Saccharomyces cerevisiae S288C: one gene and its partners. The gene in region 3 interacts genetically with the main gene of each other region. Each region holds a gene or a part of one and is shown on either strand. Other genes may lie near its edges. The genes, in order: HXK2, ERR1, RIM11 and STP2.

What was found.
Region 1: mutations in RIM11 (region 3) and HXK2 together harm fitness more than expected from each alone (negative genetic interaction), as found in Saccharomyces cerevisiae (3 studies listed by BioGRID).
Region 2: mutations in RIM11 (region 3) and ERR1 together harm fitness more than expected from each alone (negative genetic interaction), as found in Saccharomyces cerevisiae (3 studies listed by BioGRID).
Region 4: mutations in RIM11 (region 3) and STP2 together harm fitness more than expected from each alone (negative genetic interaction), as found in Saccharomyces cerevisiae (3 studies listed by BioGRID).

The regions. Positions count from the first base shown.
Region 1 is NC_001139.9:22,056-29,878, reverse strand, and holds HXK2 (hexokinase 2), read right to left. Parts: upstream 5,945-7,823; coding exon 4,484-5,944; downstream 1-4,483. Other genes in the region: HFM1 (DNA helicase), read left to right, coding at 1-1,958; RTG2 (Rtg2p), read left to right, coding at 2,395-4,161; FZF1 (Fzf1p), read right to left, coding at 6,676-7,575; high-affinity Zn(2+) transporter ZRT1, read right to left, coding at 7,771-7,823. UniProt on the Saccharomyces cerevisiae protein: Catalyzes the phosphorylation of hexose, such as D-glucose and D-fructose, to hexose 6-phosphate (D-glucose 6-phosphate and D-fructose 6-phosphate, respectively).
Region 2 is NC_001147.6:1,076,923-1,084,460, reverse strand, and holds ERR1 (phosphopyruvate hydratase ERR1), read right to left. Parts: upstream 4,186-7,538; coding exon 2,872-4,185; downstream 1-2,871. Other genes in the region: YOR394C-A (uncharacterized protein), read left to right, coding at 92-259; seripauperin PAU21, read right to left, coding at 1,249-1,743; HSP33 (glutathione-independent methylglyoxalase family protein), read left to right, coding at 5,203-5,916; FEX1 (fluoride transporter), read right to left, coding at 6,550-7,538.
Region 3 is NC_001145.3:542,737-550,188, reverse strand, and holds RIM11 (serine/threonine protein kinase RIM11), read right to left. Parts: upstream 4,065-7,452; coding exon 2,952-4,064; downstream 1-2,951. Other genes in the region: YMR141C (uncharacterized protein), read left to right, coding at 145-453; SIP5 (Sip5p), read right to left, coding at 1,006-2,475; Arf family GTPase CIN4, read right to left, coding at 4,459-5,034; DNA cross-link repair protein PSO2, read left to right, coding at 5,226-7,211; GAT2 (Gat2p), read right to left, coding at 7,308-7,452. UniProt on the Saccharomyces cerevisiae protein: Serine/threonine protein kinase that is thought to function in regulating kinetochore activity and entry into meiosis. Could phosphorylate IME1.
Region 4 is NC_001140.6:114,441-122,486, reverse strand, and holds STP2 (Stp2p), read right to left. Parts: upstream 4,674-8,046; coding exon 3,048-4,673; downstream 1-3,047. Other genes in the region: ERG11 (sterol 14-demethylase), read left to right, coding at 804-2,396; protein transporter TIM10, read left to right, coding at 6,586-6,867; GPA1 (guanine nucleotide-binding protein subunit alpha), read left to right, coding at 7,570-8,046. UniProt on the Saccharomyces cerevisiae protein: Transcription factor involved in the regulation of gene expression in response to extracellular amino acid levels.

The DNA of each region.
Region 1 (7,823 bases), on a different chromosome or scaffold from region 3:
AGCATTTAGCAGCAGAAACCTCTTTGGAAACTGTATATTCAATTGAAACTGCAGTAAATTGGCTACGAAACACATTCTTTTACGTTAGATTTGGGAAGAATCCAGCTGCATATCAAGAGGTGAACAGATACGTTAGTTTTCATTCCGTTGAAGACTCTCAGATAAATCAATTCTGTCAGTATTTGCTTGACACCTTAGTAAAAGTGAAAATAATCGATATCAGCAATGGGGAGTACAAATCTACAGCGTACGGAAATGCAATGACGCGACATTATATATCCTTTGAGTCGATGAAACAATTCATTAACGCAAAAAAATTTCTATCATTACAAGGGATACTAAATTTACTGGCCACTTCTGAAGAGTTTTCAGTTATGAGGGTGAGGCACAATGAAAAAAAATTGTTCAAAGAAATCAATTTATCGCCACTTTTGAAATATCCATTTTTAACCGAGAAGAAACAGAGCCAAATAATTGACAGGGTTAGTCAAAAGGTTTCTCTTTTGATTCAATATGAGTTAGGTGGGTTAGAATTTCCATCATACGAAGGCGCTTCTAAACTACATCAAACTCTTGTTCAGGATAAATTCCTCGTTTTTAGACATTGTTTTAGATTACTAAAATGCATGGTAGACACATTTATTGAAAAAAGTGATGGAACATCACTGAAAAATACTTTGTTCTTACTGCGAAGCCTGAATGGTCACTGCTGGGAAAACACGCCAATGGTTCTTAGGCAATTGAAAACAATTGGACTAGTTTCAGTAAGAAGGCTAATACGACATGGAATTACCAATCTAGAAGAAATGGGGCATTTGTCAGATACTCAGATTGAATACTATCTTAACCTCAAGATTGGAAACGGCATAAAAATTAAAAACGACATTTCTTTGTTGCCTTGTCTGAATATTAGAACAAAACTAGAAAATTGCAAAATAGAAAATGAAGAGTTGTGGTTGACATTTAAAGTTGAGATTAGTGCAACATTCAAGTCTAGCATTTGGCATGGTCAGCACCTCTCATTAGATATCGAAACCGAGAAAAGCTCAGGAGAGTTAATCGACTTTAGAAGATTGCAAGTTAACAAACTACAGTCACCAAGGGGCTTTAGAATTTCAGCAAAAATATCACCAAAACTAGAAAAAATAGAATTCTCAATTCATTGCCAAGAAATCGCCGGACTCGGCAAAACAATCGTATATTCCACTGATCATTTGGCATCACAGTTCTCTGCGAAGACACCAAATATAAGGAAAGATCTAAATAGTTTAGAAAAATGCCTCTTCTATGAAAGCAGTAGTGACGGAGAAGTGGGGAAAACGTCTAGGGTTTCCCATAAAGATGGATTAGAAGAATCGCTATCCTCAGATGATAGTATACTAGATTATTTGAATGAAAGGAAGAAATCATCAAAGGCGGTTGAATCTGCAGCAGTTATTCACCCGGAGGCACACTCTTCTTCACATTTTAGTAATGGCCGCCAAGTAAGATCTAATGGCAATTACGAGTGTTTTCATAGCTGCAAAGACAAAACGCAATGCAGACATTTATGTTGTAAAGAGGGTATTCCAGTAAAGTATATAAAAGAAAAAGGACCCTCCTCAATCAAGCCAGTATCAAAACCTGATCAAATACGCCAGCCACTGCTTGCAAAAAATATCAACACAACCCCTCACCTGGAAAAAAGACTGAATAGTAAACCAAAGCAGTGGCAAGAAGAAAATACAGATATTGCGACAGTTCATACACTTCCTTCAAAAATTTATAATCTATCGCAACAGATGTCGTCTATGGAAGCGGGTGAACAAGTCCTAAAATCAGGCCCCGAAAACTGCCCTGAAATAATTCCTATTGATCTTGAATCATCCGATAGTTATTCTAGTAATACAGCGGCGAGCTCAATAAGTGATCCGAATGGTGATCTGGATTTCTTGGGTTCCGATATAGAGTTTGAATGAGCGGCATGGCCGGGAACAATAGACATTACTGATATTCATTACCCCAATCCTTTCTGTTATTTGTATTGCTTCCCAACAGAAGTTAGCATGTGTGAGAGTTTACTTATAATGCTTTGTTTTTAAAATGCAGCCAGTGGTGAAACAATTGGAACCTTTACTATTTATTAGGGAACAAGATGACATTGTCAATTGATATATTACTATTGTTACATATCGTGCTATTTATCATTTCAATTATTAGTCACATGACCGCGATAAGCGATCCGGGTCAGAATGCCGAGATAGGATAACTTTGCCGGCGGAGTTCCTAGATCAATTGAAAGAATCGAAGTGAGATTAGTAATTCATTCATATGTACCTTTTAAAAAAGAAACTCACTCTTGGAAGTGTCCTTTACTAAGGATTGTTTTGAACGAAAAGTGTAGGCGTGCCACAAATGTCAACACTTAGCGATAGTGATACCGAGACTGAGGTCGTGTCGAGAAACTTGTGTGGAATCGTCGACATAGGTTCTAATGGTATTCGTTTTAGTATATCTTCCAAGGCTGCACATCATGCAAGAATTATGCCTTGTGTTTTTAAAGATAGGGTTGGTCTTTCTCTATACGAAGTTCAATATAATACACATACGAACGCAAAATGCCCTATTCCCAGAGATATTATAAAAGAGGTTTGTTCTGCCATGAAGAGATTCAAATTAATTTGCGATGATTTTGGTGTACCTGAAACTAGTGTCAGAGTAATTGCAACAGAAGCCACGCGAGATGCTATTAACGCGGATGAATTTGTTAATGCTGTTTACGGTAGCACTGGCTGGAAAGTAGAAATATTAGGCCAGGAAGATGAAACTAGGGTCGGCATATATGGTGTTGTTTCCTCATTTAATACAGTAAGAGGTCTATATCTAGATGTGGCAGGTGGTAGTACTCAGTTATCATGGGTAATAAGCTCGCACGGAGAAGTCAAGCAATCCAGCAAACCTGTATCTTTGCCATATGGAGCTGGAACTCTTTTGAGAAGAATGAGAACAGATGATAATAGGGCACTTTTTTATGAGATTAAAGAAGCGTACAAAGATGCGATTGAAAAAATTGGTATACCTCAAGAAATGATTGATGACGCCAAGAAAGAAGGTGGATTTGACCTTTGGACCCGTGGGGGTGGTTTAAGAGGTATGGGACATCTGCTTCTTTACCAGTCGGAAGGTTATCCCATCCAAACAATAATTAACGGATATGCTTGCACTTATGAAGAATTCTCGTCTATGTCAGATTATCTATTCCTAAAACAAAAAATACCAGGTTCTTCAAAAGAGCATAAAATATTTAAGGTTTCTGATAGAAGGGCTTTACAACTTCCTGCCGTTGGTTTGTTCATGAGTGCTGTTTTTGAAGCGATTCCCCAGATCAAAGCTGTACATTTTAGTGAGGGTGGTGTTCGAGAGGGTTCACTTTATTCTCTTCTTCCAAAAGAAATTCGTGCACAAGATCCATTGCTAATTGCGTCCCGTCCTTATGCTCCATTACTTACTGAAAAATATCTATATCTATTGAGAACATCAATCCCACAAGAAGATATACCAGAAATAGTAAACGAAAGGATTGCTCCTGCTTTATGTAACTTAGCATTTGTTCATGCCTCTTATCCAAAGGAGTTACAACCAACAGCTGCATTACATGTTGCTACAAGAGGGATAATAGCCGGCTGTCATGGATTATCTCACAGAGCTAGAGCGCTGATAGGAATTGCTCTATGTAGTAGATGGGGCGGCAACATTCCGGAATCTGAAGAAAAATACTCCCAAGAATTAGAACAAGTAGTTCTACGCGAAGGTGATAAAGCTGAAGCATTGAGAATTGTATGGTGGACGAAGTATATTGGTACGATTATGTATGTGATTTGCGGTGTTCATCCAGGTGGTAATATCAGAGATAACGTATTTGATTTCCATGTTTCTAAGCGTAGTGAGGTGGAGACCAGTTTAAAAGAATTAATCATTGATGATGCAAACACTACAAAGGTAAAAGAAGAATCCACGCGTAAAAATCGCGGGTATGAAGTGGTTGTGAGAATTAGTAAGGACGATCTTAAAACAAGTGCTTCCGTTCGTTCCAGAATTATCACGCTACAAAAGAAAGTACGCAAGCTATCTAGAGGAAGTGTAGAGAGGGTTAAAATTGGCGTGCAATTTTATGAAGAATAAAGACATCTAGTCTTTAAATACTTGAACAATAAATACGAAATCCTTATATAAGCATCTTTTACTACCAAAAAAATTTAAAATTAAGCAAGAGAAAAAAACGAGCAATTGTTAAAAGAAACTAAAATCATGTAGATTTCATAAATCGTCATATTCTTTGTCTATATAAATATTTATCGTCACGAATAAATCCCGTGAATTTCTAACAAAGTTTATACAATATCACAGTTGTAAAAGTAAGAAAAAAAAAGATCATAGAAAACATGTTCACATAAGTAGAAAAAGGGCACCTTCTTGTTGTTCAAACTTAATTTACAAATTAAGTTTAAGCACCGATGATACCAACGGACTTACCTTCAGCAATTCTTTTTTGGGCCAAAGCAGCAATAACAGCGGCACCAGCACCGGAACCATCTTCAGCAGGAACAATCTTGATTGGGTAGTCGTCTAGTGAGGTTTGAGTCCAGCCGTAAATGTCCTTCAAAGCATTGGCAGCCTTTTCTTTGAAACCTGGGTATCTGTTGTAAACGGAACCGTCTGCAGCGATGTGACCGGTCTTGTAACCTCTCTTTTGACAGATAGCAGCAATACCACAAACGGACAATCTAGCAGCTCTAGCACCAATCAATTCAGATAAACGTCTGATCAATTTACGTTCTTGAACAGTAGTGTTGATACCGAACTCATTTTGGAACAAGTCATCGGTATCTTCTAGGTTCTCGAATGGATCTTCCTCGATTCTGGCTGGGTAAGAAGTGTCCATGACGAAAGGCTTGTCGAACTTAGACAAGTCTTGGTTCTTGAAGATGAAACCTTGTTTGTACATGTCCATCAAGGCCAAACGCAAAATTTCACCTAAGTAGTAACCAGAAGACATTTTTTCAAAGGTTTGTTGGCCTGGTCTTGGAGATTCTTCATCAATGGTGATATCGTATTTAGTTCTTGGCAAAACGACATGTTCATTATCGAAGGAACCGTATTCACAGTTGATGGCCATTGGAGCAGATGGTGGAATGTCATCAGATAGTTTTCCTTGTAGCTTTTCGATATCGGAACAAACATCGTAGTAAGCACCATTGACACCAGTACCGAAGATAACACCCATCTTAGTTTCTGGGTCAGTGTAGTAAGAAGCAACCAAAGTACCGGTAGTGTCGTTTATCAAAGCAACAACTTCAATTGGGATATTCCTCTTAGTGATTTGCTTTTGCAACATTGGAACAACATCGTGGTTTTCAATGTTTGGAATATCAAAACCTTTAGTCCATCTTTGCAAGATACCTTCATTGATTTTGTTTTGAGAAGCTGGGAAAGAAAAGGTGAAACCCAATGGAATTGGCTCAGAGATACCTTGTGGGAATTGCTCATCAATAAAAGCTTTCAAAGAGTCGGCAATAAATTCCCACAATTCGTCTGGATTTTGAGTAGTTCTCATAGCATCTGGTAATCTGTACTTAGATTGAGTGGTGTCAAAGGTACGGTCACCGCCCAACTTGACTAAGACAACTCTCAAGTTGGTACCACCCAAATCAATGGCCAAGAAATCACCGGATTCCTTACCAGTTGGGAAATCCATAACCCAACCTGGAATCATTGGAATGTTACCACCCTTCTTGGACAAACCCTTTTCCAATTCGGAAATGAAGTGCTTGGTAACGGCTTGTAAAGTTTCAGTTGGAACAGTGAAAATTTTTTCAAAATTCTCAATTTGTTGCATCAATTCCTTTGGCACATCGGCCATGGAACCCTTTCTGGCTTGTGGTTTTTTTGGACCTAAATGAACCATTTTATTTAATTAGCGTACTTATTATGTGTGGAGAATTATATTCCTACAACCTTTTCAAAGAAAAAGCGAAAAAATATTAAGAAACTTTGAAGTTAAGTTATAAAAGTTAAGGAATTTTTTTTAGATATGGGGTAGGATTACTCTTTTTTATAGTTTTGTAGATAAGACAGTGGCGAAGGTGCAACAAAGAGACATCACGGAATTGGACACGATATTTGCAAGCTCGCCTCAGCAGGAGGTAATTTCGTGGATCTCGCAATCAAAGGTGTTTCGTGGTCGTCGTCGTCGTCGTGGAAAATTTTTCAGAAAGAAAAGAACGATTACCTAAACTGTCTTTTTCTTTTACAACATGATGTCCCTGAAACAGAGAAAGTACCGTACGAATGTCGATCGACCGGAAAAACTGCCCGCGAGAAAAAGAAATCTCTTTTCTTCGATTTTTTTGTGCCGTCCGGTTTATTGCCCGGTGCCGTCCGGCATGATAGCCATTTCTAGGTACCAATGTGCGAGGAGGTTCAGAAAACTCGTAGTAACATGATGGAAAAGGCATTAGAAAGAGCAGTATACTCTGGGGTCACCAATGTGGAGCTCTGGAGCCCCGCACTTTTTTTCAAGAATAATAGGATGTATACGTAATACGTAATAGGTATCACGCTATTTACTCTTGCCTTTTCTTTGTTTCATAGTTCGAATCACATGAGTAGAGGACGGAAATTGCTCTTCTATGGCGTTCAGTATTCGAATAAATCCCAGACGCTAGGCTTATATAAATGAATGTAGCTGTACTTTACCAGCGTCTCAGGAATGAAGGCGTGCGTGTGGTCATAGTGGTCAATGAGATCAAATACAGATGCGAATGGACTAAGCTCTTGACAATCACTATGTTTGCACCGGTTATCCGACCAGTAACTCTCTGGATCAGTTGGGGTTTGTGCCGTAGTGCTATCAACGCTTTCACTACTGCTTGTCCCAGTAGTGCTAAATGAAAGTTGTGGAATGGATGTAGTGTCGGTGCTGCTGGATTTCTCAGAGGTTGGAAGCGATTCCTTCAGAGATGGATCTCCAGATGGTACAACAAGCTTACTTGCTATATGATGTTGCAACATATGATTTATTAGATCGTCATTGAAGCTGGTAACTTTTTGACATGATTTGTATGGGCATTGTAGCACTTGCATGTCATCATATCCAGGCAAATGACCTTGCGAGAATTCTTCACCACACATTGGAGAGCCGGAAGGTAATTTTGGGTCAAAACCTCCCTCCTTGCCATTGAGTTCTGCTTTCACATTCGCATTCACTCCTTCGTGTTTACGGTCAATTCTTGATGCAAGCTTGCTTTTTCTTTCATGACTATTTAAATGCCTTCTTAATTGCTGATTTGTGACAAATCTTTTTTGACATAATGTGCACGCTTTGGGCTTGATTTGTGAATGAGTCCATTTGTGAACTCGTAGATGGCACGGTCTTATAAATTTTTTGCCACATCCCGGCTCATCACAATGATACGGCTTTTGATTGGTATGCGAATTTTGGTGTTGCTGAAGCAAACTAGGTCTGTTGTAGACTTTCTCACAACCGTCAAAAGAACATTTGTAATTTCTAGACTTGGTTCTCCCTATATCCGTCATTGTTTTGGTGGCCACGTATTCTGGTACCACTTGTGCACACCAGCGTAAAAGTTGTCATTTTCATCTTCTTTAGCGTATTTATTGTCCGAGACTGTTAAAGAAAAATTATTACTGTTTTTTTGCTATTACTAAAGAATAAATAACTATAAAATATGAAATAGAATCTATATGGAACATGCAGAATTTCGCTTTGGTTTAAGCCCACTTACCGATCAAAGCCATGATACCAGCACCGAAAAGAGTGCATA
Region 2 (7,538 bases), on a different chromosome or scaffold from region 3:
TCCACCACCACTTACCCTACTATTACCCTACCATCCATCATCCGCTACTCACCATACTGTTGTTCTACCCACCATGTTGAAACGTTAACAAATGATCGTAAATAATACACATATACTTACCCTACCACCACATGCCGTATCCACCCTCACTTGTATACTGATATGGCATAGGCACACGGATGCTACAGTATATATCATCTCAAGTTACCCTACTCTCACATTCCACTCCATGGCCCATCTCTCACTTCATCAGTACTAAATGCACTCACATCATTATTAACGGCACTTGCCTCAGCGGTCTATACCCTGTGCCATTTACGCATAACTCCCACGATTATCCACATTTTAATATCTATATCTCATTCGGCGGCCCCAAATATTGTATAACTGCTCTTAATACATACGTTATACCACTTTTACACCGTATACTAACCACTTAATTTATATACACTTATGTTAATATAACCAAAAAATCACCATCAAAATCACCTAAACATAAAAATATTCCATTCTTCAACAATAATACATAAACATATTGACTTGAAGTACGAGCACTACCATGACGTCATTAACGTAAAAGTTCCTTAATATTCCCATTTGCTTGAACGGATGCCACTTCAGAATATTTCGTACTTACACAGACTTCACATTAGAATATTATGTCATCCCATTGTTGTGACACTCTTTATTCACCGAGCAATAATACGGTAGTGGCTCACACACATGTGGGCGCTATCCCCTCAACTCTATTCCAGTTACAGTTACATAAAAAACTAACCTAACAAAGAAATAATAATATTTATGTCACAAAAATCAGGGTCTCTTGCTATGACTTGCTACTTGTTTTGCCCTGATCTGCAATCTTATTTTTAAAAGTGACGCATATTCTATAAACGACCCCGAGGCGACGCGCCAAAAAATGAAAAAAAGGAACGACACATTTTTATAGAAAGACAAAAGGCTGCGAAGCCGCACATTTCCAAGTTCAGTATTGCTTATTGGACATACCCTATTAGCTTTATTACCATGCACCCTTTTCCAGAACAGTGACGCAAAAGAGAAGTTTCTATTTTGGGTTTATTGTATTGAGAAAATACTCCACAAACACTGTTATTGATCAAAAATGAGTTGTCATATTAATATACATTTACATATGAGAAATTGTATTTATATCAATAGAATAACATATTTTATTTCATTTTCTTTACTTTTTAATGTCTATGGAATTTCGTTCGTAAAAGCTTCTCTCTATTTTGGAATAGCAGTGTAGATACCGTCCTTAGATAGAGCACTGGAGATAGCCGGTCTCAATCTGGTAGAGTACCATGGGACACCAGTGATGACTCTGGTGACTTGTTCAGCTGGAATACCAGTCAACATGGTGGTGAAGTCACCATAGTTGAAAACAGCTTCAGCAATCTCAACTGGGTAGGTCTCTGTTGGATGAGCTGCTTGAAACAAGTAGTATTGAGCCAAATGAGCTCTGATATCGGAGACGTAAACACCCAATTCGACCAAGTTGACTCTTTCGTCAGATGGAGATAGAGTGGTAGTGGCTGGAGCAGCGGCAACACCGGCAGCGATAGCGGCAACACCAGCAGCGATTGAAGTTAATTTGACCATTGTATTTGTTTTGTTTGTTAGTGCTGATATAAGCTTAACAGGAAAGAAATGAATAAAGACATATTCTCGAAGGCATATAGTTGAAGTATCTCTATTTATACCTATTCCTTCATTGGTCATCACCACTTAAACGATTCGTTAACAGATGCTCCTTTAGCACTTCACATATTCTCCATATCTCATCTTTCCCACAACTTCATGATCACTATGAAGATGTTTTTGTTTTTAAACGAGGCATGCATCTTTATAGATTCTGTATGCGAAGGTATTGTTTTCTGGGGCCTTTGTCTATTCGTATGCGCCGAATGTGAGAATGCCAGTTATAGGGGTGCCGAGGTGCCTTATAAAACCCTTTTCCGTGCCTGTGATACTTCCTTTTTTGGTATAGCAGAATGTCTGAATTTAGTTGCTATAGATCCTCGTTCAGAAGCGTATTGCTAAGCCTATCTCCAGTATACCCTAAACGATCGCCGAGAAAAAATAATACTGTACCCTCCTATTTCCCGGAATTGTACAGAATAGTAGGTATGTGCTGGGAGTCGTATATTGTTAGAGTCTGTAATTTTTACGCGCGCCTAGTGGATTCGTTGATACGATTACGTTATTCTAAACCGTCGCAAAGCAAATTGTGTTGAAGTAATTCAAGACTTTAAATCACTTGTACCAAAATCATTGTTGCGAAAACTTATCCTCAGTATTAGTTTCTTGACCGTAACAGTAGTTGAAAAAAATAAAATCATTTCTATGATCGATACACTTTCATTATTTAACTTCTCTATTATGGTGTAACTTCTTACTTTTGTCAGAAAAAAAGATTTCAAGACACAACAAGAATGGGGTCAAAGGTCTGCTTGTACTATCAGGAAGATTTGATACCAACCGCGTTATAAGGGTTACTAGAAAGTAATAGCTGCTAAAAAATTTAAACCGAAGAGATTAATCAGAAAGCTGAAAAACTGCAGTGTTAGTAGAGTTGTAAGCATTTCTTGATTGGAACAGCCTTCCCCCACACGTCCACCCTTGTTCAGACAGATTCGTAATGATTTTGTGTGTAGGCAATGGAAAACTTTAAAAACGGTTTGATTTCCTACAAGATAAAACATATGAATAAAATAACTTGTGTCAAATGCCCCATTTCCATACTGTAACCCAAATCAACGAAATAAAAAATAAAACCTCATATGATTTACTTTATTTAGTCATAAAAAAACAAAAAAAAAAAAAAAAAAAAGGAAACAAGACAATCCTTTATAGTTTGTTTCCATCATGAAACCTATGACCAGCATATATACAATCGTCCCCCAGTTCCTCTTCGATACGCAAAAGTTCATTATACTTGGCCAGTCTTTCTGATCTCGACAAAGCGCCCGATTTAATTTGACCACATCTTAAACCAACGACCAAATCAGCGATAAACGGATCTTCGGTTTCACCTGATCTATGCGATATCATTACACCCCATCCAGCATCGAAAGCCTGATTGGCGGCTTCAATAGACTCAGTCAGAGTACCGATCTGGTTGAGTTTCAGCAACAGAGTATTCGCACATTTCTCCTCTATAGCACGGGCGATCCTGGTCTTGTTGGTGCATGTCAGGTCATCTGCAATAATCTGAACATTGACAGTCTTTAGGAAGGCAGACCACGAGGACCAATCATCTTCGGCGTAGGGATCTTCCAGGGAAATGATTGGGTATTTCTTTAGCAATGAATGGTAATATTCTGCTAACTGGGCTGGACTGAGCCAGTGAGATGGGTCAGAGTTCGGTTCCTTGAAATTTAGGTCGTATTTCCCGTCCTTATAAAAAACAGAAGGAGCACTATCGATTCCTACTTTCACTCTACCCTCGTAACCGCATATGTTAATGGCTTCCACAATCATGTCCAAGGCGTCTTCGGCAGTGTCAATATCGGGGGCAACTCCACCCTCGTCACCAACATTTCCAGCGGAAGGTCCATATTGCTCCTTCGCCAATATCTTCAAATGATGGTAAACTTCCGAACCCATCCTCATGGCTTCTGCAAAGCTCTGAGCCCCGACTGGCGCGATCTTGAATTCTTGCATAGCTAAAGAGCCACCGGCGTGGGCTCCACCATTCAAAACATTGAAAAAAGGAACAGGAATAACAAAGGGGTCCTGTCTAGCATCCGCTAACTCGGCTATATACTTGTAGAGAGTAATTCCCTTTTGTGCGGCAGCAGCTCGAGCAACGCACAAGGAAACACCAAGGATAGCATTGGCGCCCAACCTTGACTTGTTAGAAGTTCCGTCTAACGATATCATGAGCTCGTCTATGCCCTTCTGATTGGTTACACATAATTCGGACTTGATTAAAGCAGGCCCTATGATACTATTGACGTTACTGACTGCCTTGGTCACCCCTTTTCCCATCCATTCGGACTTGTTCCCGTCTCTAAGTTCAACAGCTTCGTGAATGCCGGTGGAGGCACCAGATGGGACGATCGCTCTGAAGAGACCATTCTCTGTTGTAATTTCAACCTCAACAGTCGGATTGCCGCGAGAATCATACACCGTTCTAGCATGTACCTTCGTGATGGACATATTTTTATCGTTGAGATTCGATTTTTTCCTCACCTTGTTTTGGTATTTCTATTGCAAGACAAAGTGAAAGAAGAAGAAGTGGTGGTAAAAAATAACTATATATAATGAAAATTGTAACCTGGTGGGAGTGCAAACTGTAAGTGATAACCTGCCAGATCCATGTTTCTATTATATACCTAAGAACCAGCCAAGTTAGGTAAACGAGGAGTCTTTCAATATCTCTTTTCTAGTGAGAATGTTATTTAGGTAAATGAACAAGTTACCACTATACTACTCACCCCCTACACTTTGTTTGTGACCTCTCCCCTTATCCAGTTCATCGAAACTTTTTTTTCAACTTGTGGCGATCTGTGACATTGTCTACTACAAGAACCGATTTTGGTTGATGTCTGTAAAAAAAACAACCTTACCTTTCCAGATCCAACTTTCCAGGAGAGCTGCGTGAGTTTCAAATATTTACCATGTCGGAGAAAGCTCCCAAGTACTTCCTTGTTCTTGTCATTTTTTCCTTATCTCCATCCTTTAAGGAAGGTATTTCCATTATGCGATTCTATAAATCCGAGCATGCGAGTATTTCTTTTCTTGGCGCGGAGTCGCTGATGACGCAATAGGCACATTCACGAACATCCAGGACTGGTAATCTTCTCGTCTTAAAGAAAATCCAACCACCAGTAAGAAACTCTTGGGTAAAATGGGGTATCTGAAATATTGCATAGCTGCAAATGAAGATATTCAGTATCAGCATAGGTATTTTTATGGAGGATAGGTAAAGAGAAAGAAAAAAAAAAATATCTTTCTGACTGTCGTTCTTGCAATTATCACAATTAGGGGACTTTAAAACCGATACTTGATATATGAGCACAGTCAAGGGGTCGGTTCTTGAGATTTTAATGGAAAACAGGAAAGTTGCACATACAGGTCTGCTTTTCTTTGCTTGCTCCAGACAACGATACTTAGAACTAAAACATATTTCTAGAACACTTTTCTCCTTCATTCAAAAAGAAAACTGGCCTTGCAATGACTCCAAAAAGAGCGCTAATATCTCTTACTTCATACCACGGTCCCTTCTACAAAGATGGTGCGAAAACAGGCGTTTTTGTAGTTGAGATTTTGCGATCGTTCGATACATTCGAAAAGCATGGTTTCGAAGTGGACTTCGTTTCTGAGACTGGTGGATTTGGCTGGGATGAACATTACTTGCCAAAGAGCTTTATTGGTGGCGAAGATAAGATGAACTTTGAAACGAAAAATTCCGCCTTCAATAAGGCGTTAGCGAGGATCAAGACCGCAAATGAAGTCAACGCCAGCGACTATAAAGTATTCTTTGCATCTGCTGGACATGGTGCTCTATTTGACTATCCCAAAGCTAAAAATCTGCAAGATATTGCATCCAAGATATATGCCAATGGGGGTGTGATCGCTGCCATCTGTCATGGACCGCTCCTTTTCGATGGATTAATAGATATCAAAACAACAAGACCATTAATCGAAGGCAAAGCTATAACAGGTTTCCCACTCGAGGGTGAAATCGCCCTGGGAGTTGACGACATCTTGAGGAGCAGAAAATTGACAACGGTTGAACGCGTTGCAAACAAGAATGGAGCCAAGTACTTGGCGCCAATCCATCCCTGGGATGACTACTCTATTACAGATGGAAAGCTAGTTACGGGTGTTAACGCAAATTCTTCCTATTCGACCACAATTAGAGCTATAAACGCATTATATAGCTGAAACAAAAGACAAGGGAATTGTTGAAGGGGAGGCTTTTAATGACTTTCAGTTTCTGTGAAGAGAAGGCTAACAGCTCAATGGTTCGAAAGGTAAAGAAAACGGCAGGTCGGTAGCACTCGATTTTGCTAGAATGGAAATCATATAGAGAACAATTGAATAGTAGGCCTTGGTTTTTAGTGTTGTATTCATCATGGTCATATGTGACATAGGTAATGTACATATATATATAAAAAAAAAAAAAAGCAATGCTGTGAGATCATTCGTTACTTACGAAATACGCAGATTGCAATTTGAAATAAGCTGTGTTTTCTTTTTTTTCCTTTTTTTTTCTTTTTTTTGGCTTGTTATATACAACTTTTTTCTATTTCTGTTCTTTTTATGAGTAATTAATTGGTACATGGGAAATAAATATGAATTATATTAAATGAAGTAAAAGTAAAAGAAAACGGGGAAATTTATCGTTTTGTAGTAAATAGATGATGGAACGCATTCATAAAATCTCACAAAATATTACAATAAACCGCAGTAGTGGGTAAAAATGTATTATACAACGTCTAAAATCTTGAAAATGAATTAAAAAAAAAAAAAAAAAAAGTGGGATGATTATGCAGGGAAAAGTATAAAGAAAAGATCCTAACAAATCGGGTTGGTCAATCCTCTAGTCCAAGCATAGGATCCGAGAGTTATCACCAATAAGCAATATGAAATTGCAATCGAAACAGTATAATAAATAAGCATGTTAATAAATGATAGCTTATACCCTTCATTGATAAACGTGCTAATGGTACTCAAAGTGCCGCAAAATCCGGATATTAACGCAGAAACAATATGACATGAATTCAACGAGTTCACAATTGGAACGTCCGTAGAAAAGTGTTTTTTACCACGTTGCACCATGGTAAATATGCCAATCAATAAAGTGGCGAAAACGTTTGCCAAGAAAGTACCCAATGGAAACTTTTTGTTTGTTTTATTAAACATTTCTGCCAACCAATATCTTAGGAAACCAGCGAAAATTCCAAATAGACATGGTAGTGTCCACTTGCCCCTCGAATAGTTCTCATAATACGCACACAGCACCACAAACAAAATAATTAATGGAAAAGCTAGTGCATACGCGAGTTTATCCACAATATCAAAAAATTTCTTAAAAAATGGTGCTGGAGTTTTGAATTTAAACTCTAGAATATTTTTTTCCATTTCTTGTGTATCAACATCACCAGCATTTTCCTTTACAGTGTCTGAGGGAGGGGTATATGGCTTCGAAAACGAACTAGATCCATAAGCAACAATAACCTCCTTACCAAGTTGCCTACCGAAAATAAGACTACCCATGGAAACCATAAGATGAACGAGCAAGACAGATAAAAACTCCATTATACCGTAAGCTCTGTTCGGCAGTTTTGTGTGGTTAGCGATATTACCGTTAGTTAAGTTTGTAGAGTGTTCGAACATCTCTAGCAGCATACTAGAAAAGGAAGACAGGGCACCACAGTACCCAGTAGTTACACCTAAAAACAAGACTTGGTGATCTTTCATCCAAGTGTAAGCATTTAAAGATTGCATAATCCCCATTAGCATGCAGGATGAACAATTAGACCAGAGAACGGTCGGAGCAGTAA
Region 3 (7,452 bases):
AATATGTTTCATCTTTTTTAATGTCTTTATATCTGGTATAATTTTATGTACACTGTATAATGGGAAGCCATCACTCATAACAAAATATTCTGTTATCACTGAATTGTGACGCTCAGATAAGATAAACATCCAAAGCGCATACTGATGTCACGCACTGACACAAGTGAGAAGAGAAAAGAAGATTTTATATATGTGAGTTTGAATATATACCTATGCGTACGTTTATATATAATGCATTTGATTTCTTCGAACACGCCAAAAAGTCATTGTTCAGTCAGATTTCTGTGTTTCTTCCTTTCAGCACTAGCAATTACCTCAAATCGAAATTTCTTTAGACCTGAAAAAATGCCAACAAGAATATTCTGTAATGACACATTGATGGTATCGCCCAAAACTGAAAAATTTCTGGAACGGTTTACCAACCAAAAATTGGCTAAGCTGGAGGTGAGGTAGATGGTGCTTTTTCTGCGAACATTGCAAGCATATAAATAGAGAAAAGAACTCCTACTACAGTTTGAGTGGTCGAACGGAAGGTCGTTTTTAACAGTCTCTCATCTATAAAGACTGTACGCATATTTGGAACTAACTGCTTAATTATGTGAACGCTTCTCTGATATCCATCGTCTATGTGCTTCTATCCATAAAAAGGCGAGAAAAGAGAGAATGACATTGCTCAGTGGCGGATGCGGGATGGGAATCTTATATTAGTTACTACTAAAATTCAAATGCAAATTTGAGGTGAAATACTTGAACTCTCAATTCTTGAGGACGAACAAAACAAAAACTTTCTAGAGCGGGAAGAGCTTGCAATACAATTAACTGTAAAACTTCTCTCTCTTCACAATAAATGTGACGATATTTCCGGATCATTTTGTTTAAAGCCAAAAGGAAGGTCAGGTTGGTGACGCTCCGTTAGATATAGATGGAACAAAAGAAAAATAGTGCACTTCTGGAACGTTTGAAAAAGGATTTTTTTAATATTGTAAAAAATGTCAAACTGTGATGCTATGGTCTCAAAGAGGTGTTTCTATTCTTTGATTTTTTTCGGTTGTCCTGATCTTCAAGGCTTAACCTAATAGCCTCTCTAACCATTTGATCTTCAAGTTCGTTTATTGTCGGTTCAGGAGATCTTGAAGCTGACGTACTTTCATCATGAATAGGGGTTATACTGTGACTTGTATTTCTCCTTCTGCTATGGCTTGGATCGATCAACCTATTACTTATATGTATAGCGGTGGCATTCGCGGATCTCCTCATCAACCTTGCCCTTTCTTTGTTCAATTTAATCTCCCAATCAGGACGAATGGTATCCGAAGTAATGGCTGATATGTTTGGCTGACCGCCATCAGCTCTTGATATGGCGGCGTCCTTATACACGTATGAGTCGGCTGGCATACCCCCTATACCAGTTTCACGATTTGTGGGTGGTTGATAAGTGATGCTAAAACTAGCAGTTGCACAGTAGGGGCAATTTGCTGGCTCAGAGGTAAGAAGATTTGGGTCCTTTTCACTGTCATTAGTTTGTGGTTCAGTTGGGTCTACTTCGTCATGAGGGAAGTGAGGATCAGCTCTCTTAATCTGTACAAAACACTCGGTACAAATAGGCTGTTGACAACATTTGGAATAGTTGAAAGGCCCTGGAAAGTATAAAAAACAAATAGGGCATTCCGACCCATTTTTGTAAAGAGTATACTTCAAATCGTCACTTGGTAAATGGTAATTTTTCCTTGGCTGGCTACTGGTATTATCTTCAACATTGCTGGACTTGCTGCCAATTCTTTTCATTTCCAATTTCCTCTCCAAAAACGTCTCATTTTCATTTTCTTGCCATAAAATTCTTTTCTTATACAATCTTGCTCTAAAAATCTTTGCGTGCATTCTTCTCTGTTCCTTCTTGGATAAAGATTTGTCTATTAATTCATTAAATGTTGACTTCCTTAAATTGCCTATCGGTACGTCTTCGAATTCTTCCAAATTTTCATCGAACGTGTCATGCAAGGGCAATCCGTCAACAATTTTTATCAACTCATCTCTAGTCCAACTTTCATCAAAATCCTGCAAAGGAGTGTAAAACGGCGCTAACTTTCTTTTGATTATTAAATTTTTAACGACAGTAGCATCATAGTCCAACTTTTCAAAAGAATAACAGCCAAATGGGGCCAAAAACCCCCCATCTACAGTTTCGCTACACCTCACAACCAATTGTTTAGCATGTGCCTCTTTAGCAAGCTCTTTTTCCCGTGACGTCTTTCTTCTACTAGTGCTGGATAGATGAGAACCAGTTTTTGTACGAGCATTATTCCCATTTAAAATATTATTGACCAAAGACGTCGTGCGTCTCGTTCTCACCCTTGAAGAGGCTTCTTCATCATATTGTTTGATGACAGAATTCGATGATGTAGTATTATATGAGGAATCTGGCCTGACATCATTAAAACTATCTTCCTGGTCTATTTTCCCTGGAACATTACCCATGGTTTGTTTGCTACTCTGGGTTCGGTTTATACTAGCTAGATTATTTGGTTCTAAGGTGCTTCTTCGTTTACTAAAACACCCACTACATCAGCTCGATGATGAACCTTCACTTGCCCCTTTATACTCTAAAAACCTTGTCGACCCATTTAAGGAAGTTGTTACCCGGTTAAAGTAAAGGTGTCATTAAAATAGTTTCGTACTGGCAAAGAATACGGCTTTTATACATAATTCGAAGTGAAATGGCATAAAAAAGTTACAATTTATTTTGGCTTTACCTTATTTTTTTCATAATTTGTATTCATTATAACAGTAATGATAACATAATACTGTTACTACTAATAATGATAAGAATATGATGGTAATACAAAAACAATACTCATAATAATAACAGTAATAATAGTACTAAAAAAAGACATACGTATATATGTTCCTTCCTTCTCCCATTATTCTTGCCTGGGCTCCCTCCGGTGCTATCATTACTTAGACTTCGGATATAGCTTTTTTTTTACAGATGATAGTTCATCGGGAGATAGATGGCCCAATTCGACATTTTCATCGAACTCTAGCAATTTTAAATCAGTTGTTATTTGATTTATTTTACCGTCATCAAGTTTTAGTTCATCAAAATATGGACTACACAGGCATTGTAGAGCATTAAATCTTTCTAGTGGATCATATTTCAAAACGTCAGCTAGAAATTCCACAGTTTGATCATCTTCTTTCTTGAAAACACGTGACAATGGTATTGGTTTAATTTGCGGGAACTTATGCTCCATATAATTGGGATTCATAGAGCAAATTTCTTGCTTTGATGGAGTACCTAAGATTTTAATGATTTCCACTAGTTGATCAATACCACTTTCTCCAGGGAACATTGGTTGGCCCAATAGCAGTTCCGCCATTACGCAGCCAGAGGACCATATGTCGATTTGGTTGGTATAATTTGTTGCGCCGAAGATTAGCTCTGGTGCTCTATAGTACCGTGAACAAATATAGGAAACGTTAGGTTCAGTAGGTTTCAATTGCTTTGCACTGCCGAAATCGCACAGTTTTAAGGACCAGGTCTCAGGATCTACTAATAAATTTTGAGGCTTAATGTCTCTATGACAGACGTTCGCGAAATGATGGAGGTAATTCAATGACTTGAACAATTGAAACATGTAGTACTTTATTTCCAATCTTGACATCGGCGTACGTTGATGGACGAAATGACGTAACCTCTGGTACAAAGATTGTGGCATGTATTCTAGTATCAAATTTAAATAAATCTCATCTTGGGAGTCCCTTTCATAGAAAAAGTACTTCAGATCTATTATATTTATGTGACTCAGCATTTTCATTATTTCCAGCTCTCTGTTCTTGAATCGTTTATCTTGCAGGACTTTCTTAATAGCAACTTTTTCATTAGTTTCTTGAATAACAGTGGCAAATACCACACCAAACGAACCATGCCCAACTACTTCGGTGGTAGGGAAAGATATCTGCACCGGATCATTCGGGTCTATCGTAGGTGGAGGATGGGCGTAGTAAACCTGTTTTGACACTATGTTATTACTGAGATTCGGAGAATTATTGCTTTGAATATTCATCCTGCGCGAGTTCTAGCGTTGCGTGATTAGTGTTGCCGTGTTGTAATGTAATGCTATGTCAAGATCTTGCCCAGTAATGTGTGAATCAGACGTCGGTGGTTGGCTATTCTGGAAAAAAAGGTGTTAAAATGCAATGCGCCAGAAAGAAAAGGAAATAAGACAATGGCAACGACCGATTGGAAATAATCTGCTGGTCTTCCTACCACTCCTTCTTGTGTAAGATCTTCAATGGACCCGTGCTTTGTAACCCGCAAGCCTTACAGAACCCCTTGGTAGTATTATTATCCGGAGTGAGCAGAAGCCACGAATGCGCACAGTCGGCGGGTAATGAACTATCACGCTATAAATACTGACATTATTTAAAGTTTTTATATGGTGCTCACATCTTAGACGATTATTGGGTAAAATGGCAGGATTCCACCAGACGGTCACGCAGGTTATCAATACCTTCTCCGGTAACGCCACTACATTTGACGAGCTCTATTCGGATGTCCGGCTTGAACAGACACTTCAACTCGCTCTCTACCAGTAAACACCTTCGATGAAGCTCGGACTTGTCCTCCACTAAATCAATCTTGTTCAACACAACGATAACAGCACACTCGTATCCTATTCGATTTTCGTCTCTATTGATTAATTCTTTTAGTTCTTGCAAGGTTTCGTCAAACCGCATTGAAAGGCTCACATCTATACACCATATCATCGCTTGTGTCTTATCAAAATAGTTATCCCAAAATGGCCTTAATGTGCGTTGCCCCCCAATGTCCCATAGAGATATTGTCACATCTTTTATCATCAGACTATGTATTTGAAAACCCACAGTAGGCATTATACCATCGTTATTTTGCTCATCCTTGGGCAATAGTTTGTTTACTATCGTTGACTTCCCCGAATTGTCTAGTCCTAGAATCAGACAGCGAATTTCTTTGTCCCTGAGCTTCTGTTTCCTGATAATACTTAGTAGTCCCATGTATTCTTCTACACCTTAAGCTTCCCTCTTATTATCTTTATAAATTAGTGCGATGGCTTTTTAGATTTTGTCATGGAAACGGACTGAAAAAGTACTAGTAAAATAGCAATATAAACATAATCAAATACCTGCGTCAAAACTCATGTTAAGCAGCATACGCACTAGTGACTAATTTGGGTGGTCGGTTGATTATGTCAAGGAAATCTATAGTGCAAATAAGAAGATCTGAAGTAAAGCGGAAACGAAGTAGCACCGCTAGCAGTACAAGTGAGGGGAAAACTCTTCATAAGAACACACATACATCCTCTAAAAGGCAGAGAACTTTGACAGAATTCAACATCCCAACTTCATCGAACTTACCTGTCCGTTCCAGTTCATATTCATTCTCAAGGTTCAGTTGTTCAACATCCAATAAGAATACAGAGCCAGTAATTATTAACGATGACGATCACAATAGCATTTGCCTTGAAGACACTGCAAAGGTCGAAATCACCATAGACACAGACGAGGAAGAACTAGTTAGCTTGCATGATAACGAAGTCAGCGCAATAGAAAATAGGACCGAAGATCGAATAGTAACGGAATTGGAGGAGCAAGTAAATGTTAAAGTCTCTACAGAAGTTATTCAATGTCCTATTTGTCTAGAAAACCTTTCTCATTTAGAATTGTACGAAAGAGAGACACACTGTGATACTTGCATAGGCAGTGACCCGAGCAATATGGGAACACCTAAAAAGAATATCAGGAGCTTTATTTCTAATCCATCATCTCCTGCAAAAACGAAGAGGGATATAGCTACGTCAAAAAAACCAACAAGAGTAAAACTTGTTTTACCAAGTTTCAAGATAATTAAGTTCAATAATGGCCACGAAATAGTTGTGGATGGTTTCAATTATAAGGCCAGCGAGACTATCTCTCAGTACTTTCTTTCTCATTTTCATTCTGATCACTATATTGGACTCAAAAAATCTTGGAACAATCCTGATGAGAATCCGATCAAGAAAACACTTTACTGTTCTAAGATCACTGCAATATTAGTAAATTTAAAATTCAAAATTCCAATGGATGAAATCCAAATTTTACCCATGAATAAACGCTTTTGGATAACAGATACCATTTCAGTAGTTACGTTGGACGCTAACCATTGTCCCGGTGCAATAATAATGCTTTTCCAGGAGTTTCTGGCAAATTCGTATGATAAGCCTATAAGACAAATTCTTCACACGGGGGATTTTCGAAGCAACGCCAAAATGATTGAGACAATTCAGAAGTGGTTGGCCGAGACAGCGAATGAAACTATTGACCAAGTTTATTTAGATACAACATATATGACTATGGGATACAACTTTCCTTCACAACATTCTGTGTGCGAGACTGTGGCTGATTTTACATTACGGCTTATAAAACATGGTAAAAACAAAACATTTGGAGATTCACAAAGGAACCTTTTTCACTTTCAGAGAAAGAAAACATTGACAACTCATCGTTACAGGGTCCTATTTCTTGTGGGAACATATACTATTGGAAAAGAGAAGCTAGCCATCAAGATATGTGAATTTTTGAAAACAAAATTATTTGTTATGCCGAATTCCGTTAAATTTTCAATGATGCTAACAGTTTTACAAAACAACGAAAATCAAAATGACATGTGGGACGAAAGCTTACTCACCAGCAATTTACATGAATCATCCGTACATTTGGTACCTATAAGAGTGTTGAAAAGTCAAGAAACCATAGAAGCTTACTTGAAAAGTTTAAAAGAATTGGAAACAGACTATGTGAAAGACATTGAAGATGTTGTCGGGTTTATACCTACCGGGTGGAGTCACAATTTTGGTTTAAAATATCAAAAGAAAAACGATGATGATGAGAATGAAATGAGTGGCAATACAGAATATTGCTTAGAACTAATGAAGAATGATCGAGATAATGATGATGAGAATGGGTTTGAAATCTCGAGTATATTGAGGCAATACAAAAAGTACAACAAATTTCAAGTTTTTAACGTACCATATTCTGAACACAGTAGTTTTAACGATTTAGTGAAATTTGGTTGTAAATTGAAGTGTTCTGAAGTCATTCCCACTGTGAATCTAAACAATTTATGGAAAGTGAGGTATATGACGAATTGGTTTCAATGTTGGGAAAACGTTAGGAAAACGCGGGCGGCTAAATAAAACAAAAAAGGAAAACAAAAAAAAGAAAAGGGGGTAAAAATGTGTTATGTAAGATGTACGTACGTAATGGATATTATATGAATGTATGATTTTATATTATTGCAATATCGTATTATACTCAGAGTCCAACGTTTGATCATTATCCATATCATGAATAAACCTGTTTGGAATAGTGATAAAATCAGGAATTCTACGATCGTTGGCTAAATCAATAGATCTTCTATATCTTAACAACAAATTA
Region 4 (8,046 bases), on a different chromosome or scaffold from region 3:
TCGCCGCCTGTCCCGTACAGACGAACAATTGCAACAATGGGCGGTTGTTTAGAGAGGTTTTGTGCCGCGCCCGGGAATTACCGGGGGCACAGCAAAATACGAAATTTCCGGCAAAATGTCTCTGTACGAAAATGAGGCCAGCCTTTATTCCCGACTAAGCCGTACGATTATAGTAATGTCACACGAAGTGGATACTATACGAGCAGCGCACATACAATGTGCGTGCAAGATTTGCCGGGTTGGACAATCTTAAAGGCCGATAATCCACGAAAAACGAGACAAACGAAGCGCTGGCCCTAAACGAAACGAAACGAAACTAAGATTTCAAGATAATCGCTTTTCAGATGACAATAGTCTCTTGCAGAACACAATAAGTGTGGTAGGTATCTTGCAGGAGACATCGATTTTATGCCTGAATTTTTTTTTTTTCTTGGTATGAGCACATCCTATTGTGCATCTCCACGAGTTAACGACGTTTACGTACTCGCATGTATTCGAAAAGCCTCTAAAAATTGCCCTCCATGTGTATTCATTATATAAGATAGCGTATTTTCCCTTAGTTTTCTTATTCCCTCTTAATTCTCTCTTTCAATGTCTTTTTTTTTTTCCCTTTTCCTTTTTCCCTTTTCGTTATTGGTAAATTATTTATAAAAAGATTGATAAGCAGTATCGTTCAGCGTGTGTATTTTCGATAGGAAGTAATAATTTTTCATTATATTAATTAATAGTTTCCAGAAAAAATTTTTTTTCCTTCACAATTGCAGCAGGCTTGAATAGAAACAGAACAAACGAGTAATACAAGGATGTCTGCTACCAAGTCAATCGTTGGAGAGGCATTGGAATACGTAAACATTGGTTTAAGTCATTTCTTGGCTTTACCATTGGCCCAAAGAATCTCTTTGATCATAATAATTCCTTTCATTTACAATATTGTATGGCAATTACTATATTCTTTGAGAAAGGACCGTCCACCTCTAGTGTTTTACTGGATTCCATGGGTCGGTAGTGCTGTTGTGTACGGTATGAAGCCATACGAGTTTTTCGAAGAATGTCAAAAGAAATACGGTGATATTTTTTCATTCGTTTTGTTAGGAAGAGTCATGACTGTGTATTTAGGACCAAAGGGTCACGAATTTGTCTTCAACGCTAAGTTGGCAGATGTTTCAGCAGAAGCTGCTTACGCTCATTTGACTACTCCAGTTTTCGGTAAAGGTGTTATTTACGATTGTCCAAATTCTAGATTGATGGAGCAAAAGAAGTTTGTTAAGGGTGCTCTAACCAAAGAAGCCTTCAAGAGCTACGTTCCATTGATTGCTGAAGAAGTGTACAAGTACTTCAGAGACTCCAAAAACTTCCGTTTGAATGAAAGAACTACTGGTACTATTGACGTGATGGTTACTCAACCTGAAATGACTATTTTCACCGCTTCAAGATCATTATTGGGTAAGGAAATGAGAGCAAAATTGGATACCGATTTTGCTTACTTGTACAGTGATTTGGATAAGGGTTTCACTCCAATCAACTTCGTCTTCCCTAACTTACCATTGGAACACTATAGAAAGAGAGATCACGCTCAAAAGGCTATCTCCGGTACTTACATGTCTTTGATTAAGGAAAGAAGAAAGAACAACGACATTCAAGACAGAGATTTGATCGATTCCTTGATGAAGAACTCTACCTACAAGGATGGTGTGAAGATGACTGATCAAGAAATCGCTAACTTGTTAATTGGTGTCTTAATGGGTGGTCAACATACTTCTGCTGCCACTTCTGCTTGGATTTTGTTGCACTTGGCTGAAAGACCAGATGTCCAACAAGAATTGTACGAAGAACAAATGCGTGTTTTGGATGGTGGTAAGAAGGAATTGACCTACGATTTATTACAAGAAATGCCATTGTTGAACCAAACTATTAAGGAAACTCTAAGAATGCACCATCCATTGCACTCTTTGTTCCGTAAGGTTATGAAAGATATGCACGTTCCAAACACTTCTTATGTCATCCCAGCAGGTTATCACGTTTTGGTTTCTCCAGGTTACACTCATTTAAGAGACGAATACTTCCCTAATGCTCACCAATTCAACATTCACCGTTGGAACAAAGATTCTGCCTCCTCTTATTCCGTCGGTGAAGAAGTCGATTACGGTTTCGGTGCCATTTCTAAGGGTGTCAGCTCTCCATACTTACCTTTCGGTGGTGGTAGACACAGATGTATCGGTGAACACTTTGCTTACTGTCAGCTAGGTGTTCTAATGTCCATTTTTATCAGAACATTAAAATGGCATTACCCAGAGGGTAAGACCGTTCCACCTCCTGACTTTACATCTATGGTTACTCTTCCAACCGGTCCAGCCAAGATCATCTGGGAAAAGAGAAATCCAGAACAAAAGATCTAAGGTTTGTAACTGAGAAAAAAAAAAAAAACAGAAAAAGAGAGAAGTTGTACATTCACGTGGGCCTTATCGCCACACTCATCCATCTCCAATGATTTATTTTATTTGCCAGTACGTTTGATATGACATCGAGTTATGTTCTTTAGTTACTTTCAAACTTGGACAACCATCCCGCATTATTTATGAGTGGTATGGTTTCACTTCTTTATTTATAAATATTTATACTACGAAATTATATATAGATTACATTTCTAAAACAACATCAAATATAAGGTTTATTTATGCAACATGCCTACTGGATTAGAAGAGAGAACACACAGCTCACAGGCCAAGCGGAAATAAAGCAGTCTTTTCGCAAACTTGTAAATCTTTTTGCAATTTAAATTAATCAAGAGAGGGCCCAGGAGGAGAGGAGTTTTGGGGAGGGGTCACTGAGGAAGCTCTCTTAAATATGGATTCACTGAAATAAATGTATATAAGATTCATTACTGCTTTTTATAGTGATAAATCCAAATGATGAGTGAATTGAACCATCCTTAGTATCCATTGTTTTATAAAGCACCGCTAAAAATAATATATTGCTACAAAAATGATATAATAATAATATTACGTAAAATACCTGAAACCGCCATAAAAATAATACCTGAATTAACCTTAAAATTCTATCCCATAAGCTTTTTTGTAAAGGGCCAGATAATCTTGAGTCTCCTTCAAATGATTCTCACCCAGAAGTTCAAAGTCCATTTGCTTCTGTAACATCTCATTAATGGAAATCATATTGCTTTCCTTTGACTGATTGATTGCGTCCTCCTCGGTTTTGTCTGGCTCCAACAACGATTGCTCTGAATCCAATGGGTATGACTTATTTGTTTCTGTAGTTGTTATTGGATCGCCTGAAAGTGGAGATAGCGCTGAGGAGGCAGAGGATAATGCTGGAGAATCCATATGCAATGTGTATCTTGATGATTGATACTCTTGTGGTACAGAAGATGCATTTTGGGGTGACAAAATTGGGGGAGATATTATTGACCACTCTTTGAGATTTTGGACTTCTGTAGGTCCTCTTGATTGTGTAGTTTGTGTAGGTCTTGATATTTGTTTGCGTTCAAACCATTGAGTGCCTATTCCAAAATCGTTTTTTTCGGTTTTGGTTGGTATGATCTTGTCATTAGGGCGTTCCTTGGACTGCATTACTGTCGCTTCTATACAATTCTTATTTTGTAAAGCTGGTTCGGAAACACTTTCGTCGGATGAGATGAACCTTGTTTGGCCATCCGAAGTCTTTATCATTTTCATTTTAGACGTCTTTTTCTTCTCTCGTATTCCCTCTGAATAGCCTTCTGGTAAACCTTTGCAACTCCCAGCCTCAATGTGGTTTTCCACCCAGCTCTCACTAGTGCTAAAGTGTTCCCCACATTGAGTGCACACTCCAGGTGATTTATTACGGTCCTGAGGCTTAACACCTTCTGGGTAAGTGAAATGTCTAGATTTCAAATGTGTTTTGTAGGTATCTCTTCTGCTAAACCCCCCAGAAGTATGGCATCGCAATTCTTGCGAAATGCTATTATCAAAAAATGGACAGTGATAGGCCTTCCTTTTCGCATGCTTTTTTATGTGTCGTGTTAAGTAACCTCTGATTCGGAACCTAGCATCGCAATAGTGACATATATATGGTAAAGTTTCGGATGACTCATCAGCAATTCCTTGAACCTCATCGGATAGGGGAGATTCATCAATACTTTTCTTCGATGCAGGAGTGATTACGCTACTTACGGGCGTGATTGGAAGGAAATTAGAGGGGAAAAGAGCTTTGTACTGGTCATTATTGATATAGGATTCCTCTAGCGGGGGAGAACTTATCAAGTCATTCTGTAACTTTGCTGGCTCGCCGCGGCTAGGGCCCCGTAAAATCGGTTCGTCCAAGTTCAACTGTGTAGTGACTGCACCATTATTATCAATTTTAATTGAGAAAGGTGTTTCTAGGTTATCCAAATTTAAAGCACAGGGTACAACTGAAGATTTTGATGTTAGACTCAATTGTTTGTTGTTCTGTTTGGGAAATAATTCGCTCACGTCAACCAGATCGTCCTTTTCGGTAGCACAGCAGTCTTTCTGTGGATGGTTCTGTTTCGCAGGTTCTAACTTTTCGAAAGGAGTACTTTTCGAAGATTTGTCGTCTTCCACATTGGGCACAATCACTTGCTGCACTAATGCTTTAAGGTAGTCATATATCCTTGTTAACACGCTGTTCCGTGTTGAAGATAGTGATAAGATAGGCATGATAATGGATTTCCTTACTTCCCCAACTTTTTGCTCTCTTGCATTTGTCTGTTTGTCGGATGATTAATCACTGTTTTTCATTTATTAATCATCGTTTTTCTCGCTTTTTGCCCGTATTGGAATGTGAAGAGAAAAAAAAAATGATAAGAATTCTAAAAAAAGATACTCTTCGTTCGAATGGATGACTCTAAGAAGGGTAACAGACTTTCAATCTTCAAATAACATTATAATCTCTATTCTAGCCCTTAGAGGAGCATGTCATGCGTTCAGAACCTCCATTAATAGCTTACTTTATAACTTTCTATCAGTCACAAGTTAAACGTCGACAATTTTTGTGGGAAATGGTCTGTTTTTTTTCTTCAGTTAATAAATCTCGTTCTTGACTGCAGGTAATTAATGGTATCGTGATCGTTACCTATGCTTACACACTATAAGAATTTTCTTCGTGAGAATTGGCCCATTTCTCTGGTTCTTCTGAAGAGAGTTTTGCTGACCATCAATCAGCTTTACGAAAATTTACCGCCCAATTTCTTGCCAAAATGCCATCCATATTCCCATTCATTGGAATTCTTTCACTATTTTATCATTTCAATGTTCTTTGTAGCAACAGGCTCTTCTTTTTCACGCTTACTGTGATCATTTGTTATAAGTGCTGGTATTTTCTCTCTTCTGGAATTCCGTGCTATTGATATCACGACATGTGCGCTTCTCATGATTTTGCCGCCCAAGGCACATTTTGCCGTCTGTTTTTAACCTAATATTTATGTCGCGGGTATATTATCATATATTGCGTAAGAGGATGGTATTGCTGATGGGAAGTGGTCAACAAATTCAATAGGCACTGAAATGTAAGGGCTGACAATGTAATTGGATAAAGAAAGGCAACACATGAAAGGAAGAAAAAAAAAACGTTATTTATTATTATGTAAAACTATTGACCTCACCTTTGTGATTCACGCTGTCCTCGTGAAAAAACTTTTTTTGTTTTTGTAGACCTAATAAAAGAACCTTTTTTAACAATGTCCTAACAATAATTTCAACAGTTGCCAAACCTCAAATAGTGTTGGAATAAAAATCCACTATCGTCTATCAACTAATAGTTATATTATCAATATATTATCATATACGGTGTTAAGATGATGACATAAGTTATGAGAAGCTGTCATCGATGTTAGAGGAAGCTGAAGTGCAAGGATTGATAATGTAATAGGATAATGAAACATATAAAACGGAATGAGGAATAATCGTGATATTAGTAAATAGAAATATAGATTCCATTTTGAGGATTCCTATATCCTCGAGGAGAACTTCTAGTATATTCTGTATACCTAATATTATAGCCTTTATCAAAAATGGAATCCCAACAATTATCTCAACATTCACCCATTTCTCAAATAGTATGTTTTGGTGTTAAAGAAGAACATTGGAAACAAAGGAAAGGTAAGCATTAGCCCGGAAACAAAACAAGAGGAAGTAATATACACCTTTTTGGTTAACTTGTTCGTTCAGAAGAGCCCAAGTATGTAATTATTTTTTGCAAATCTTTCCTCAGTAACGATAACGACACGAAGGTAATATTTTAAAACATTTATCAACAAGTCACTAAATATAATCTGGGTCCTATCACTATTAGAGCTTCTATGGCCAAGTTGGTAAGGCGCCACACTAGTAATGTGGAGATCATCGGTTCAAATCCGATTGGAAGCATTTTTTGCATTGATTTCCCAATTCGTAGCTGATGATCACCCTCTGAAGCTATCGGACATTTTTTTTCTTTAATTTTTTCAGCGAGAGAGCTGGCAGTGAACGTACAAGAGCAAGCTCTCTAAAGAACTATTACTCTCCTCGTTCCCCTCTCATGTCTTTTAACAGATAAACAAGCAAAAGAAGGAACTATCATACTTAGAAAAACATGTCTTTCTTAGGTTTCGGTGGTGGTCAGCCTCAATTATCATCTCAACAAAAGATTCAAGCTGCGGAAGCTGAACTAGATTTGGTCACAGACATGTTCAATAAATTGGTTAATAACTGTTATAAAAAATGTATCAATACTTCTTATTCCGAGGGTGAGCTGAATAAGAATGAATCTTCGTGCCTAGACAGATGTGTGGCCAAATATTTTGAGACCAATGTTCAAGTCGGTGAAAACATGCAGAAAATGGGCCAATCATTTAACGCAGCCGGTAAGTTTTAGAAATGTGCATTAAAGCAGTAATGATAAGACGAAAATAAGAAAAGAAATCCATAAGCTGTTTTACTCGACTCAACGTTATAATTAGTATTATTGATTCATATCCTGTATATACAAGTAACATTATACTCTTTTCTGTACTTCATCTTTACCTTTTTATCTTACATGGCACATGTTGTTTGAAAACAAGATCATAGGTGGATAAAGCAAGCCGAATCTAAAAAAAAAAAAATGTCTCTATTGGAAAACTGAATGCATAACGATATTCCCTTTTCATGCAGATAACACTGACTAGTTTCAATTTGAAACGCATCTTCGTGTTATTTCACCGAAACGCACTCGGCTCAGCATGTTAAAAAGCACATCAATTTAGGGCTCTGCGCGTCCTTCTGCGTATTCTTCCTTGTAGAAATGCAATTAAATGGAGAGCAGAAATTTTTTTGTTACATATTGTTTTCCTTAAAGGGAAATATTAAAAAATAGTCTAAAATGAAGAGGATAGTAGAATTCCACCAATTTCTTTACGTTTTATATTATTCGTAATCTTTTGATCTGTTATTCATTTTTTCTTGTCACTCCGTTTCTAACATTTTTGACCATTTCTAAGACCAAACTGAGTAGAAGCTATTCATACTGTAAATTGGTATTTTAGCATCACATCAATAATCCAGAGGTGTATAAATTGATATATTAAGGTAGGAAATAATGGGGTGTACAGTGAGTACGCAAACAATAGGAGACGAAAGTGATCCTTTTCTACAGAACAAAAGAGCCAATGATGTCATCGAGCAATCGTTGCAGCTGGAGAAACAACGTGACAAGAATGAAATAAAACTGTTACTATTAGGTGCCGGTGAGTCAGGTAAATCAACGGTTTTAAAACAATTAAAATTATTACATCAAGGCGGTTTCTCCCATCAAGAAAGGTTACAGTATGCTCAAGTGATATGGGCAGATGCCATACAATCAATGAAAATTTTGATTATTCAGGCCAGAAAACTAGGTATTCAACTTGACTGTGATGATCCGATCAACAATAAAGATTTGTTTGCATGCAAGAGAATACTGCTAAAGGCTAAAGCTTTAGATTATATCAACGCCAGTGTTGCCGGTGGTTCTGATTTTCTAAATGATTATGTACTGAAGTACTCAGAAAGGTATGAAACTAGGAGGCGTGTTCAG